3 linked regions of the Macaca fascicularis genome follow. The protein of the gene in region 3 interacts with the protein of the main gene of each other region in a pairwise test. Links are inferred from orthologs where the notes say so. Each region holds a gene or a part of one and is shown on either strand. Other genes may lie near its edges.

The links.
Region 1: the proteins of FHL2 (region 3) and GNG12 interact in binary tests that used the Homo sapiens proteins (3 or more experiments, as listed by UniProt). The link is inferred for Macaca fascicularis from reciprocal best matches to the Homo sapiens genes FHL2 and GNG12.
Region 2: the proteins of FHL2 (region 3) and ID3 interact in binary tests that used the Homo sapiens proteins (3 or more experiments, as listed by UniProt). The link is inferred for Macaca fascicularis from reciprocal best matches to the Homo sapiens genes FHL2 and ID3.

Annotation. Positions count from the first base shown.
Region 1 is NC_088375.1:166,845,141-166,849,854, forward strand, and holds the start of GNG12 (guanine nucleotide-binding protein G(I)/G(S)/G(O) subunit gamma-12), read left to right. Parts: upstream 1-1,351; 5' UTR 1,352-1,469; intron 1,470-2,697; exon of another isoform or gene 2,698-2,991; intron 2,992-4,527; 5' UTR 4,528-4,572; intron 4,573-4,714. UniProt on the Homo sapiens protein: Guanine nucleotide-binding proteins (G proteins) are involved as a modulator or transducer in various transmembrane signaling systems.
Region 2 is NC_088375.1:211,559,739-211,563,835, forward strand, and holds ID3 (protein FAM219A), read left to right. Parts: upstream 1-1,460; 5' UTR 1,461-1,536; coding exon 1,537-1,836; intron 1,837-1,945; coding exon 1,946-2,005; 3' UTR 2,006-2,030; intron 2,031-2,473; exon of another isoform or gene 2,474-2,550; 3' UTR 2,551-3,034; downstream 3,035-4,097. UniProt on the Homo sapiens protein: Transcriptional regulator (lacking a basic DNA binding domain) which negatively regulates the basic helix-loop-helix (bHLH) transcription factors by forming heterodimers and inhibiting their DNA binding and transcriptional activity.
Region 3 is NC_088387.1:9,791,443-9,795,657, reverse strand, and holds the end of FHL2 (four and a half LIM domains protein 2), read left to right. Parts: intron 1-1,296; coding exon 1,297-1,483; intron 1,484-3,328; coding exon 3,329-3,480; 3' UTR 3,481-3,937; downstream 3,938-4,215. UniProt on the Homo sapiens protein: May function as a molecular transmitter linking various signaling pathways to transcriptional regulation. Negatively regulates the transcriptional repressor E4F1 and may function in cell growth.

The DNA.
Region 1 (4,714 bases), on a different chromosome or scaffold from region 3:
ACCCTCTCAGTCCCTGTGGTGTCATGCTGTTCTGTTTCAGATGTATCATTTGAACTGTTAGTACCTGTGAATCAGTCAAGCATTTCCTAATGCTGAACAGAACAGGAAATAAAGACCTCTCTGGTAGCCTGTGACTTGCACCCCCAAAACCACCCTCATCTGCAGCTTGCTAAGATCACACCCCTGGGGCAAGGCATGCATTCATACACCGACTCTACCTGTGACACCTCTTCTACATGTGCAAATCATTTCACTAAGCCTGATACTTGCTTAGGGGTCAGAAGGAAAGCAAGAGGGAATATAATGCCCTGACTGCAGTCCCTAGTTTCCAGATTCCCCAGGGCCCACTTGTCCTCAGTTGGTGAAACTCAATACACAGACATCCCTCACCAATGCTTTCAGACTCCATTTCAAGTGCGGACTCTGCCCACACTGGTTCTAAGTGACCTACTTTGGCCTCACCTCTTTTCTCTCCACCCTGTCAAACAAGAAAGCGGTTACCTAGGAATATTCCAGAAGTCCGCTGAGTGGTTTTCTGAACATTCAACTTCTTTACTCTTTCTGGACTCCAAGAAGGCAAGCCCCCTGTCTGATTCATCCTTGTACCTCTCCCATCACCTTTAGCATCGCGCTTGGTACACAGCGGGTGCTCGGTAATGTTTGTCGAATGGCCCAAGGAATAGTACGAAATCTGTGGAAGCAGAAATGGCTCCTCCATTTACCCGACCTTGAACCATTCCAGAAAAGACCAACCAAATCCGATTAATTCATTGGGCAGAACTCTGCCAGGTACTGGACATTCGGAAACAAATTTCAGGGGGTTGGGGCAGATGGACGGGAAGCTAATGGTGGGTGGATGTACTACAAATTCAATAATCCGCAGTTATACCTCCACTTTCTGTGAAACGTCTCTCCGTGGCCCCAGGGCCCTTTAAATGTTACTGTGAGTGTTTTCCTCCATAGTGTCTGGGGCAGAGCCAAACTTTTGTGTAGGGGTTTGGCAGCGCTCATCCTCACAGCCCTGGGGACGGCTGGCACAGGGGCTGGCGAGGCGTTCGCACGCGAAGGAAACTTGCGAGGCGTCAGGGCGGCCCCGCGGAGGAGCGGGTCGTAGAGTGGGAGCCCTCAACTCCTAGAACTTCAGGTCCTCCATGAGAATAAGGGGAAGAGGGATGGCCAAAGACGGCCAGACGTCCACCGAGCTTCCCCAGGCCAGGCCTCTCCCCTCCTCCAGCCGGGCCACAACGCGGGCTCCGCGGCCCGGGGCAACATAGCCAGGGTGTCTGGGCGGGAGGCAGGGCCCGGCGCGGAGGAAGGAGCCTGGGGCCGCCGCCGCCCCGCCCACCCCAGCGAGGCGGAGCCGGCGCCCGGAGGAGCAGGAGGAGGAGGAGGAGAGGTCGGAGCCGTCTCCAGGAGCCCTTAGAGACCGAGTCCCGGCGGCGACGGCGGGGCAGCGCACCAGCAGGCGGGTGAGTACCAAGCGGCGGGCGCGGGTGGTGAGTCGGGTCCCCGCGGGGTCCGGGCGCGGCGCGGGGCGTCGGCCAGCGAGTTCGGGGGCCGCCTCCGAGTCCCGGGTGCTGGGAAGCGAGATGGAGGGAGGGAGCAGAGGAAGGAAGGAAGGAGGGAAGAGTGTCCTGTAGGGCGGGGACTGGTCGGGGCGCTGGGCGCCGGAGACCGGGGAGAGGCGGAGGAAGGGGGCAAGGGACACCCAGACCCAGAGGCAGAAACCGCGCGGTCGCCCTCGACGGGCGGCAACCCGAGGTCGCGGGGAGCCGGTGCCCCCACGGCTGGGGCTGGGGCTAGGCTAGGGGTGGAAGGAAAGGTCTCCCCGCGAGCTCGCTTGCCTCCTCGCCAGCCTGCGGCCGTGCGCCCCGCGCCCGATTGGGAGGCCCCCAGTGTTCCCAGCCCTGGCTTGTGGTGGTGCCAGGCGTTGGAGGAGGGCTGGAATCTGGGGGCGACAGAGACGCCACGCCCCTCTGCCTGCTTTCTACCTCCCGGGACCAGCCGGCGGGAGCGCAGCGTTGGAATCCACTGGGCGCTGGGGGTCTAGCAGGGAAATAGCGGGTCGCAGAGGGGAGAGCCCATATGACGCACCCTGCGAGGGACCCCCGAGTGGGGTCCCTAGGTTGCCCTTCTGCAGACTATATTTGCAGGTGATAAGGGGGAGGTTGAGGCTCAGTCTTGCGTGATTTTTTCTTAAAAAAATTATTGCCCCGACAGTTATCCCGTGGGTCAGGGTGACTTCTGTTTTTCATTGTAATTAGGGCGTATCAATAAAAGCTAACTTTAAAACCCTGTCAGCGCCTGCCGTCACTCACTCGTCCCTCGCTTTGTGTGTACTGTAAACTTGGCTTAAATCATTCATAACTCTCGGTAAGGAAGCCGTGATTCTTGTTCACGTCGCCGCGGTGGAGTGAAACTTTGCCCAGCTGGGGCTGAGTGGAGGCACTGCCGCGGCCGGTCATCTGGTGGTCATCCTGCCGGGCGTGGTTGTATACAAACAAGTGGGTAGAGAAGGAAATCTCTGAACGCCAGAGGTAGAAGGGAGGTTCCTGCGCCCACGTGTCAGGGCGCGTTTAATGGCTGCTCCCAGCGGAAACAAACGGGAATTTATTAGACCATGTGGAGTTGGACAAACTTCACATGATTAGCTTCCTTCCCATCAGTTACTTCCTCTCCCCCCCTGCTGTCTTTGCCGACACAGTTTATATTTCCTGGGGCGGTTGTAGCTTCGCCTGAATAGGCTGTCTATAATGAATCTTTTGGATGTCGTCAGAGGCAGGGTCTGCGTCTGTGCCTTCTCTATTTTAAAAGCGGAGTTTGGCTTTGTTTTTAAAAGTGCTAGTCACCAGACTGCACCCTTGCCAGCGCTTCTCAGCTCTCAAAGTAAATTATCGCAGGATGGCGGCCCTCACCTAGGAGAACCAGGAAGGCAGGCAGCGCTAGAACGACGGGATTGAATTTTACTATTGCCAAAACAATCACATTCAAGTAAGGAGCTGTTTTGTTTTGTTTTTGTTTTTTTTTTTAACCCAATTATATGTACTAGCAAGCCCCTTTTCTAGTAAACTAACATGATTCACACACACAATTTTTAAAGTAATCAAACATTTTACAGAGTCTTAAGTGATAAAAGGACTTTCAGATAAAATGTTCAGTCCCTTTGCCTTCTCTAATAGTTAACCAGCGCCGTAAAGCCCTGGTTTAAATCCAAAAAATGCTTAAAAGTCTACTGCGTCGTTAGACCTTATAAATAATGCAGTCCTATTTTTGCTGTATTTAACTCACGTAATTTACTAGATATCGAACACCCAACAGGGCACACAGCACTGAGATTTGTGTAGAAATATATGAAAATGTGAATCTGTGTTTCACAAGAGCCTGAAAAAAATAGTATTATAAAAATTTCCTGTCCAGAAAGCTCCAATCTTACTTGAAAGCTCTCTAACAATTAGATTTGTGGATTTGTGTTGTCACTTGTTAGAGAATATCGGTGGTTTATTAAAGTGTGAGAGCAAAGGGCTTCATGGTCAGAACACTCGAGGAAGTGGTTAGCCAATATCAGATTAGTTTTTTTTTTAATTGTTGAAAACTTCTGTCTAGCAGGAAAAAAAATCAAATTTAGAATTAAGTGATTTATTGTGTTTTGCTTTAATTTGGAGTTTTATGTCAGCTTAAGCTTAACCTAGAAAGGCAAGTTGTGAAAGTCAAGTAAATTTTTCTGAGCCCTAACTTGGAAGAGAAGCTTGTTTAACAGTGATTTGGGGTGTTGGCTTTGGAGTCAGACAGACTTAGATGAAAATATTAGCTATTTAACCTTTTCAGTCTGATTTATAAGATGGGGATAATAATGGTCTCTATCTGTAGGGCTTTAAAGTATGTGAAACAGTCTTTGGAAAACACTTAAACTGGACTTAACACACAGTACATGGTCAAAATTATTAGATATTAATCTAGCTTGTTCAAGCAGCAGGCTACTGGATAAATTGCAAGGTGGTAGCTTGAACCTTCCGAAAATGCTAGATAGAGCAATTTCAAATTCCACAGAAGTAACTGGTATGTGTGTGTGTGTGATGTTTCTACCACAACAATATGAATAATTATGATTAAAGGATTAATAGTTTTAATATGCTTTTAGTGCCAAAGTTACAGTTGCATAGTAATTTTGACAGAAACATTGCATTATCCTTTACATTTAAAGATAATTTATATTTCAAATAGTTGTGTTTATTAGCCCTAGGTAGGAAAGTAGCCAGGAACTGAAGTATTCATCTTTAACCAAGTATAATTCTTAATTAAAGTATGAAAACACGTGACCCAAGGGTATCTTGTTATTTACTTTTGCATGTACTGATGTCCAAGGCCAACAGATAAGCCCTAAGAAGTGTTAGGCTGATTGTGAGTGGTTGTTTTATTTGTAAATTTTCATGAGATTGGGTGTTCAGTTAATTCAGGGACTCTACTCATCACATTGTTGACTCACTTCCTAAAATCTAAAAGATTTTTAAAATGTCTTTATCATGCCAGGCGCAGTGGCTCACACCTGTAATCCCAACACTTTGGGAGTCCGAGGTGGGTAGATCACCTGAGGTTGGGAGTTTGAGACCAGCCTGACCAACATGGAGAACGCCCCCCCCTCCCCCGTCTCTACTAAAAATACAAAATAAACTGGGCATGGTGGTGCATGCCTGTAGTCCCAGCTACTTGGGAGGCT
Region 2 (4,097 bases), on a different chromosome or scaffold from region 3:
TACCTGGGCTTGTTCAAGATTACATGACAAATTATTGTCAGGGCTAGCACTATGAACCCAGGGCTCTCAATTCCCAGTGTCCTTTTTAACTGTTTTGAGACTCTCTTTGGCTGAGCTCCCCTTGTCCTGTTAATCAGTGCCACACACTATTGAACTCTTGTTTTCTGTGTTAATCTTCTCTCCCCAAATTGTGGGGTGCTTGAAAGCAGGAACCACTGTTTTATGTGGAGGGAGTCCATATATATTCACCAATGGTTCATTAGGAAAGTAACTATTGGAATCCCACTGGGTCATTTCCAAAATGGAAAGCAGCATCTTGGAAGTGCAGGTTCCCAAATGTCTAAGGAGGTGACAAGAAGACAAGCAAAGAAAGAATACTGAGCACAGTGTCCTGTTGCAATACAGGACTTAGTTTGCCGGCCCTCTGGTTCCTTTCCTGGTCTTTCAGATGGAGCTGGAGCTACTTCAGCAGGGCTAAGAATAATCAAGTCCAGGTGGCCTGCCCTTCCATAGGAGAAAGGGATAGACAATAGAGCAATGAAATTACCATTGTTTTCTGCACAGAGGTGTGTGGAAAGGAGAGGGGAAGTTAACAAATTTGCTGACCCAGTGGGGGGCTCTTAAAAAGGTTTATATAGGAATTGTCCCATCTGTGCCTCCACATTTAAAACCTTGTCTAAAATTCTAATTGAACTCACCAAGCACAACTGTGCATATATTTGGTTCGTTATGGAGTTCACAGGGCAGAGGGTCCAGGCTCCTTTTTTCCCCATGCAAAAAGCATGGGCTCAGGCTTTCTTCTTTTCCCCTGTTGCTCAAATAAATAGTGTTCTTTGCTCAAACCCCCTTTCCCTCCTCCTTCTGCAATCTCAGCGCCTAGCGCAAATCTGTTTTCTTCATTGTAACCTTAGCTTCACCGCAATTAATTTTTTTTCCCTCTGGTCACAAGATAATTCCTGACGCCAGTGAGTCTGGAGGTCAGACGAACAGCAAATTGGGGAACAAGGCGGCACTAATTCCTTACAAGTTTCCCTTGAAAAATCTTTTGCTTAAAAAAAGGGAGGGGGGAGCTTCTTTGCTGTTCAGGGATTTATGACCTCGGAGGAGCTGTGGGTTCGAACCAGTGTTGGGCTAAAGGCGGACTGGCAGGGGGCAGGGAAGCTCAAATATCTGGGGCGCTGCCAGGAAAAAGCAAATTCTTGAAGTTAATGGTTTTGAGTGATTTTTAAATCCTTGCTGGCGAAGAGGCCCGCCTCGCCCCAGTATCAGCGCTTCCTCATTCTTTGAATCCGCGGCTCCGCGGTCTTCGGCGTCAGACCAGCCGGAGGAAGCCTGTTTGCAATTTAAGCGGGCTGTGAACGCCCAGGGCCGGCAGGGGCGTGGCCGAGGCGGGCCGTTTTGAATAAAGGGGCGTGCCTTCGAGGCGGGCTCTATAAGTGCCCGCGGCCGCGAGCGTGTGCGTATTGCAAGCCGCTGTGAGGGGATTTCTTTGGGTTTTCTTCCCCTTTTGGGCACCTCTGGACTCACTCCCCAGCAATGAAGGCGCTGAGCCCGGTGCGCGGCTGCTACGAGGCAGTGTGCTGTCTGTCTGAACGCAGTCTGGCCATCGCCCGGGGCCGAGGCAAGGGCCCGGCAGCCGAGGAGCCGCTGAGCCTGCTGGACGACATGAACCACTGCTACTCCCGCCTGCGGGAACTGGTACCTGGAGTCCCGAGAGGCACTCAGCTTAGCCAGGTGGAAATCCTACAGCGCGTCATCGACTACATCCTCGACCTGCAGGTGGTCCTGGCCGAGCCAGTCCCAGGACCCCCGGACAGCCCTCATCTCCCCATCCAGGTAAGCCTGGAAGCCGGAGCAGGGCTGAACACTCAGGCAAGGATGCTGCCAGCCCCTTGGAGCGCCAGATTGCCTTGTGTAACTCTTCCCTCTTTTTCTCTTTTATCAGACAGCCGAACTCGCTCCGGAACTTGTCATCTCCAACGACAAAAGGAGCTTCTGCCACTGACCCGGCCGTGTCCTGACACCTCCAGGTGAGCATCTCCTCCCTTGGAGAGGGAGGTTTAAACGGCCAGTTCTGGAGTTGGCAGACCTTTTTAAAGATTGCCACTCCCTCGGTTTAGGGAAATCGAGGCCAGAGACGGACAAGTGACTTGCCCATGGTAGCGTTAAATGAATGGCAGAGTCAGTTGCCATGTGATGTGCGTTTCAGCCTTAAACGGGCGTCGCCCCTGCCCTCATGCTGTGGCCGAGGGTCTGGGAAAGTAGACGCGGGTCCGACTAAATAGTAAGTCTCTGATCGGAGTTGTATAGGGAGCTGTGTCTTCGGCAGCCCCCTCCCAGCTAGTGTCAGTTCCAAGTGGGAGGGGTAGTGCAAGCTCCGCCTGTGGTCTTTGGCGCCAACTGGGTGGGGGCAGCGTGGGGCACGGAGTTATCAGCTGGAGGTAGAGACCAAGTTTCCTCCCTGGCGCCGACCAGTCTGCGGACGGCCCCCGCCTCGGCGCGCTCGGCGGAAACTGACTGCTCCTTGGTCTTCTTTCCTCCCCCGCCCAGAACGCAGGTGCTGGCGCCCGTTCGGCCTGGGACCCCGGGAACCTCTCCTGCCGGAAGCCAGACGGCATGGATGGGCCCCAACTTCGCCCTGCCCACTTCACCAAACCCCTTCCTGGAGGCTGAACCTGGTGCTCTGGAGCGAAGGACTGTGAACTTGTGTGGCCTGAAGAGCCAGAGCTAGCTCTGGCCACCAGCTGGGCGACATCACCCTGCCCTTGCCCCACCCCCAAGTTTTAAGGACTGTCTTTTCAGAGCTTGGAGGTGTGGAAGGAGTGGCTGCTCTCCAACTATGCCAAGGCGGCGGCAGAGCTGGTCTTCTGGTCTCCTTGGAGAAAGGTTCTGTTGCCCTGATTTATGAACTCTATAATAGAGTATATAGGTTTTTGTACCTTTTTTTACAGGAAGGTGACTTTCTGTAACAATGCGATGTATATTAAACTTTTTATAAAAGTTAACATTTTGCATAATAAACGATTTTTAAACACTTGTGTATATGATGACACCCGTCTCCACTAAGTACTAATGATGCTTTCTCTCACATGGCTGCATTTAGGGAGCTTTGGGAAAGTGAACTTGCTCACTCCCATGAGAGAGAGATGAAAAACTGCCCAGCTGAGAGGGGATGGGGTGGGGAGAGAAGGGTTCATGATGGGAGTCCCATGGCCATTGAGTGATGGGTGCAGAGAAGAGATCTGGACTCTGCCTTGTTATTTCCTGGATGAAGGGAAACCAGAGAGACTGGTGCAAGCTCGCCCAGCAAGTTGGGGGTTCAGGCAAGTTGAGAACTGAGTTTTCATGTCCCCTGAGATCTAGCAGTAGCTTTCCTCTTTATTGTCACTATAAACTATGTCTTTCTAGCAGGGGATGTGGTAAGAGTAGAGCCTCAAGTTTGCCTCACCTGGTGCCCAGACATGGGTGGTGGTTGATAGACCAATTCCAGAAATGAATAAACTGATAACTGGGCCTGGTTTCATTTCCTTTTTGCTCTCTGGGCTGGCTTCCTTGCGGGCTTCCAAAATTGAAAAAAAAAGAGAGGAGGTCTCTCCTGAAAAGGATAAGAAAGATTTGGATGCTGGTTGGGAAGTACTGATACTGATCCCTTCTCTAACACTAGGTGGTTGTAGAGTCCGACCCTGAACAAGGAATGTGAGGCAGAGACTCCACAGTCCTCATTTCTGCTGGTATTTCTACACCACCTCCATTGGGAACCTATTCTGTAAGCATCCCTGTCCCTATTTCAGAAATGGGGAAAGGGAACTTCTGTGGGTAATGCTTCTGAACTAGGTTTCACAGCCCTTGAGAGGTAGAGATGGGATTTGAACTGTGACTTCAGTGACTTGACTGTGGTGAACAGGAGCAGGGCTGGGGACTGGCCATTCCTTGAGGCCAGGCCTGGAAGTGGAGCAGAGAGCAAGATCCCAACCCATGCCTTCCCCCACACCCCTGGTGGCTCCCCAGGTGGGCTTCACCAGGTGCCTGGCCTTACTGGAGATTCCTGTTTATGGTATGATCTCATCTGTGTGTTGGTCCCTGGCATGAATTACTTC
Region 3 (4,215 bases):
GTATCTTTCTTACTTCACAAGCTTTATGTAAAGACCAAAGGAATTACTGGATGATACTGAAATGTTCAAAAAATAAAAAGCAAAAAAGCGTGATTGTGAGGTGCTTGCACTCCATCTTCCATGGCCTTCGTTTGCCAAGCTGAGGCCACCTACACTCCTTTGATAGCTTACTCAGCTCCACCACGCACGCATTTTTAAACAGAATGTGAGATGCAACATTTGGAGAAAAATACCAGGTAAAATTGAGGTACTGATGGCCGTTCCACCTTGTGTGGCTTTGCAGCTTCACCTCACAGATGTTCTAAGACCACAAGACGGGTGAGAATGAAGGCATCTGGCTGATTTTTCCCAAAACTTCCAAGATGCCCATATCTTCTTGTGGCATCAGCAGGTGCCAGTCCCAGCTGTCCTTTAAGCCTTTTCCTTCTTTCACCATAAGTGGCTGGAGAGACAGGCTCGTGAGTGGCATTGGAGAGGTTACCACTTGCCAGGGTTTTTGTTTTGTTTTTGAGACAGAGTCTTACTCTGTTGCCCAGGCTGGAGTGCAGTGGCATGATCTTGGCTCACCGCAACCTTCGTCTCCAGGGTTCAAGCGATTCTCCTGCCTCAGCCTCCTGAGTAGCTGGGATTACAGGTGCACCACCACACCCAGCTAATGTTTTGTATTTTTAGTAGAGATGGGGTTTCGCCATGTTGGCCAGGCTGGTCTTGAACTCCTGACCTCAAGTGATCCACCTGCCTCGGCCTCCCAAAGTCCTGAGATTACAGGCATGAGCCACCGGCCCTGCCAGGCTTCTAAGTAAGGACTCCCCATCAACTTGCCTATTTAACATCATCACCCTCACTTCCTGGATGAGAAAACTGAGGTGCAGAGATCTTTATTATGACCTGCTCCCAGCCACAGGTCTGGTAAGGAGTAGGATTAGGATTCAAGCCCACGTCTCCTTGATGCTGTCTTCAATCCCGACCCCTCCACTGTGCTGCTTCCCTGCTCGCGAAGGTGGCAACGCCACTGAGGTGCCCTGTGCCTTAGATCTCCAGCATCCCTGGGAAGGGCTGAGGGCAACCCCCAAGCTCCAGTTTCACTAATGGGAAAGCCAGGGCCTAAGACACTGGAATGAAAGCGTGTGGCGAGGGTAACAAGTGACTGTGAGGTTTGTAAAGCAGCTTCATGGTGATGTTTAACAAACTGGACGTTTTCTGAATGAGGATCTTGCATTGTCCAGTGGCAGTAGTGAGACTGAAGATGTCTTGCAAGCAGAGAGACCACACTAACTCTCCCACTCATCCCTGCAGCCCATCACCACGGGAGGGGTCACTTACCGGGAGCAGCCCTGGCACAAGGAGTGCTTTGTGTGCACCGCCTGCAGGAAGCAGCTGTCTGGGCAGCGCTTCACGGCTCGCGATGACTTTGCCTACTGCCTGAACTGCTTCTGTGACTTGTATGCCAAGAAGTGTGCTGGGTGTACCAACCCCATCAGCGGTGAGTGTCCCGGGGTCCCCACTTCGAAGAGGGATTGGAAGCTTGAACAAGGCCTAGCATTTTAGCATGTGACCCTGTCTATATCCCTAAACTTCCCAGACCTCCCTAAGGCTCTGAACACAGCAGACTTTTCTGCCTATCTGCTTTCCTCTCCTTGGTGCACTGGCTATGCTTCAGCAAGTAATGATTACTTCCTCTGCAGCCCACCGGATCACAACCGTATGGCCTGTGCTCTGGTTTAGTTTCTGCTTTGGGTTGGATTATCTCTAAAACTGCAGCCTGTGAGCCTGTAACACCACATAAGCACAATAAAAACTGGCCTTTTCAGGCTTAGCAGCTGTACTGTTTTCTTAGAAGTGTCCCCTAGCATCTTAGGGGGACGGTTGTACTCCAAAGCATCTTAGTGGGAAATTTCTGCCACAAGGCCACAGCTATATGAGGGCAGAGGGTACATTCTAAGGAGTTTTTCATATTGTATTCCCCCAAATGATCTGGCAAAGTGAGAGCCCAAAATCTGGCTGGCCGGCAGACCAGGCTTCTGGACTAGACTATTAAGCAGGCTGGAGAAATTCAGTGTGGAGAACAGATGACTTCACACTAAAGTCCTTTAGATGGTCACCACATATCACTACACAAATTAGTGACTGGGTGGGGAGAGAAAAGTGTGTCTTCTATAATAACACAGGAGAAGTTTTATGATGTGGGATTTTCAATCCCACTGCATTCAGTGGAGTGGTTCTTCCCTATCAGAGGAAGGTGGCAGACACATGGAGTACCTGGTGGCCTGGCTTTCCTATGTGGCTTTTCAGTGTCATTACAGAAACACATCTATACACCCCCTGTGTGCTTGTCCTTGACTTTCTTTTCCCTCAGGCCTAGAACGAAGTTCACCTAACTGAGCTAAATCACCTTCCCAGGTCACTAAAACAGTTCTCTCACGTATAATGCAGAGCTCATTACATTTCCATGTGAAATTAAAATATGAAGAAAAGCATAGTATTTACAGTTTACCTATGTTAAAATGTCTGTTTCTGGTCCTTTATGCACCACATTTCCCTTGGAATCATTTAGGGGGAAAATGCAATCTTTTGCCAAACATATTCATCTTTAATGCTGTTTTCAGCAGTAACTTCTGTTGAGGTAAATGTTTATAACATTAAGCTTTATAAAGTGATACAATCTATATAAAAGCACTTCCAAATGTAAAACGTTAGATATGAATGTGAATTGCGGTTATTGTAGCACTGAGAAAAAACACTAGGTAAAACCAACTGTATTATAATCAGGGACCAATGTACCTTAAATATTTGATTCCATTCTATCTGTCTGCAGCTTTCTCAGGATCTTTCTGCTGCAACAATATCCCTCTCCCCTCATTCCTACCCACATCGCACTTTACCTGTGAGGCTTTTCCTGGCCACCCCAGGGAGGATTAACTTTTTCCTCTTCTACACTCCCTTTGGTGCTTCAATCATTAAATCATAAAAATTTGAGCACCAGGCAACATGAGGCACCTAGTGAAGGCATAAGAGAAATCTGCTTCCTGTTCTCACAGAGTTTCATTTTGTGGGAAAACACATAACAAATATAGTCAGCATTCTTTGATGCACTTATCACATTGTTTTGGAACCAGTTTCTATCTCTCTTCTGATATTCACGAGATCCTCCAGGCTGTGCATAGAATCTGATTTATACATGGATTCCCAGCACCCATTCACTAGAAGTTCACACTATCCATATTACACAATCCAAACTTTGAAATGGATCAAACCACAATTCCTTCTTCAGTCCCAGTTGCCTGATTCTAATTTTCTTCATCCGCTATTATTTTCTCTCTGTTAACAGGACTTGGCGGCACAAAATACATCTCCTTTGAGGAACGGCAGTGGCATAACGACTGCTTTAACTGTAAGAAGTGCTCCCTCTCACTGGTGGGGCGTGGCTTCCTCACAGAGAGGGACGATATCCTGTGCCCCGACTGTGGGAAAGACATCTGAAGTCAACATGGAGAAGTTGCTGCTTGTGATCTCACACACAGATTTTTATGTTTTCTTTCTCACCCAGGCAATCTTGCCTTCTGGTTTCTTCCAGCCACATCGAGACTTTCTTCTAGTGCTTTTCAGTGATACTCACGTTTGCTTCAACCCTTTAGTGCTTTGTGCTAGTTCAGTCCCAGGGAAAGAGAAAACTCGCCCTAGGCCCTAGGTGGGAAGATGGTTTGAAATTTTTGTAATCGAGTAAGGCACACCCAAATGTAAAAATCCTTTTGAATGATGTCTTTATAAATCTTTCTCTCACTGCCTATTTAAGTGCAATTAATGTATGCCACGAACTTGAAAGTTTTCTAAACTCAGTAAGGTAATGACCAATTGGTATTTACAGCTCTGTAACTTCCTGTTGTGTCAAGTCTAAACCAAGATTATGTGACTTGCAATAAAGTTATTCAGAACAAAATCTTTTGCCAGGCACAGTGTGTGAAATCATGATTAAAGGTTGAGGCACTGAGTCTAAGTAACACGTCATTGCATGGTCCGATGGTCACTGTATGAAGTGCAGTTCCAATGGCCTGGGGCATTGCCAACTGGAATAGCATCACATCACACCCTTTATTTAAAGGAAGCTTCAGTCAACACCAGGCACCTCTTCCTTGCTACCTTCTCTCCCAATTTTTTTTTTTTTTTTTTTTTTGAGACAGAGTCTCACTCTGTTACCTAGGCTAAAGTGCGATGGCA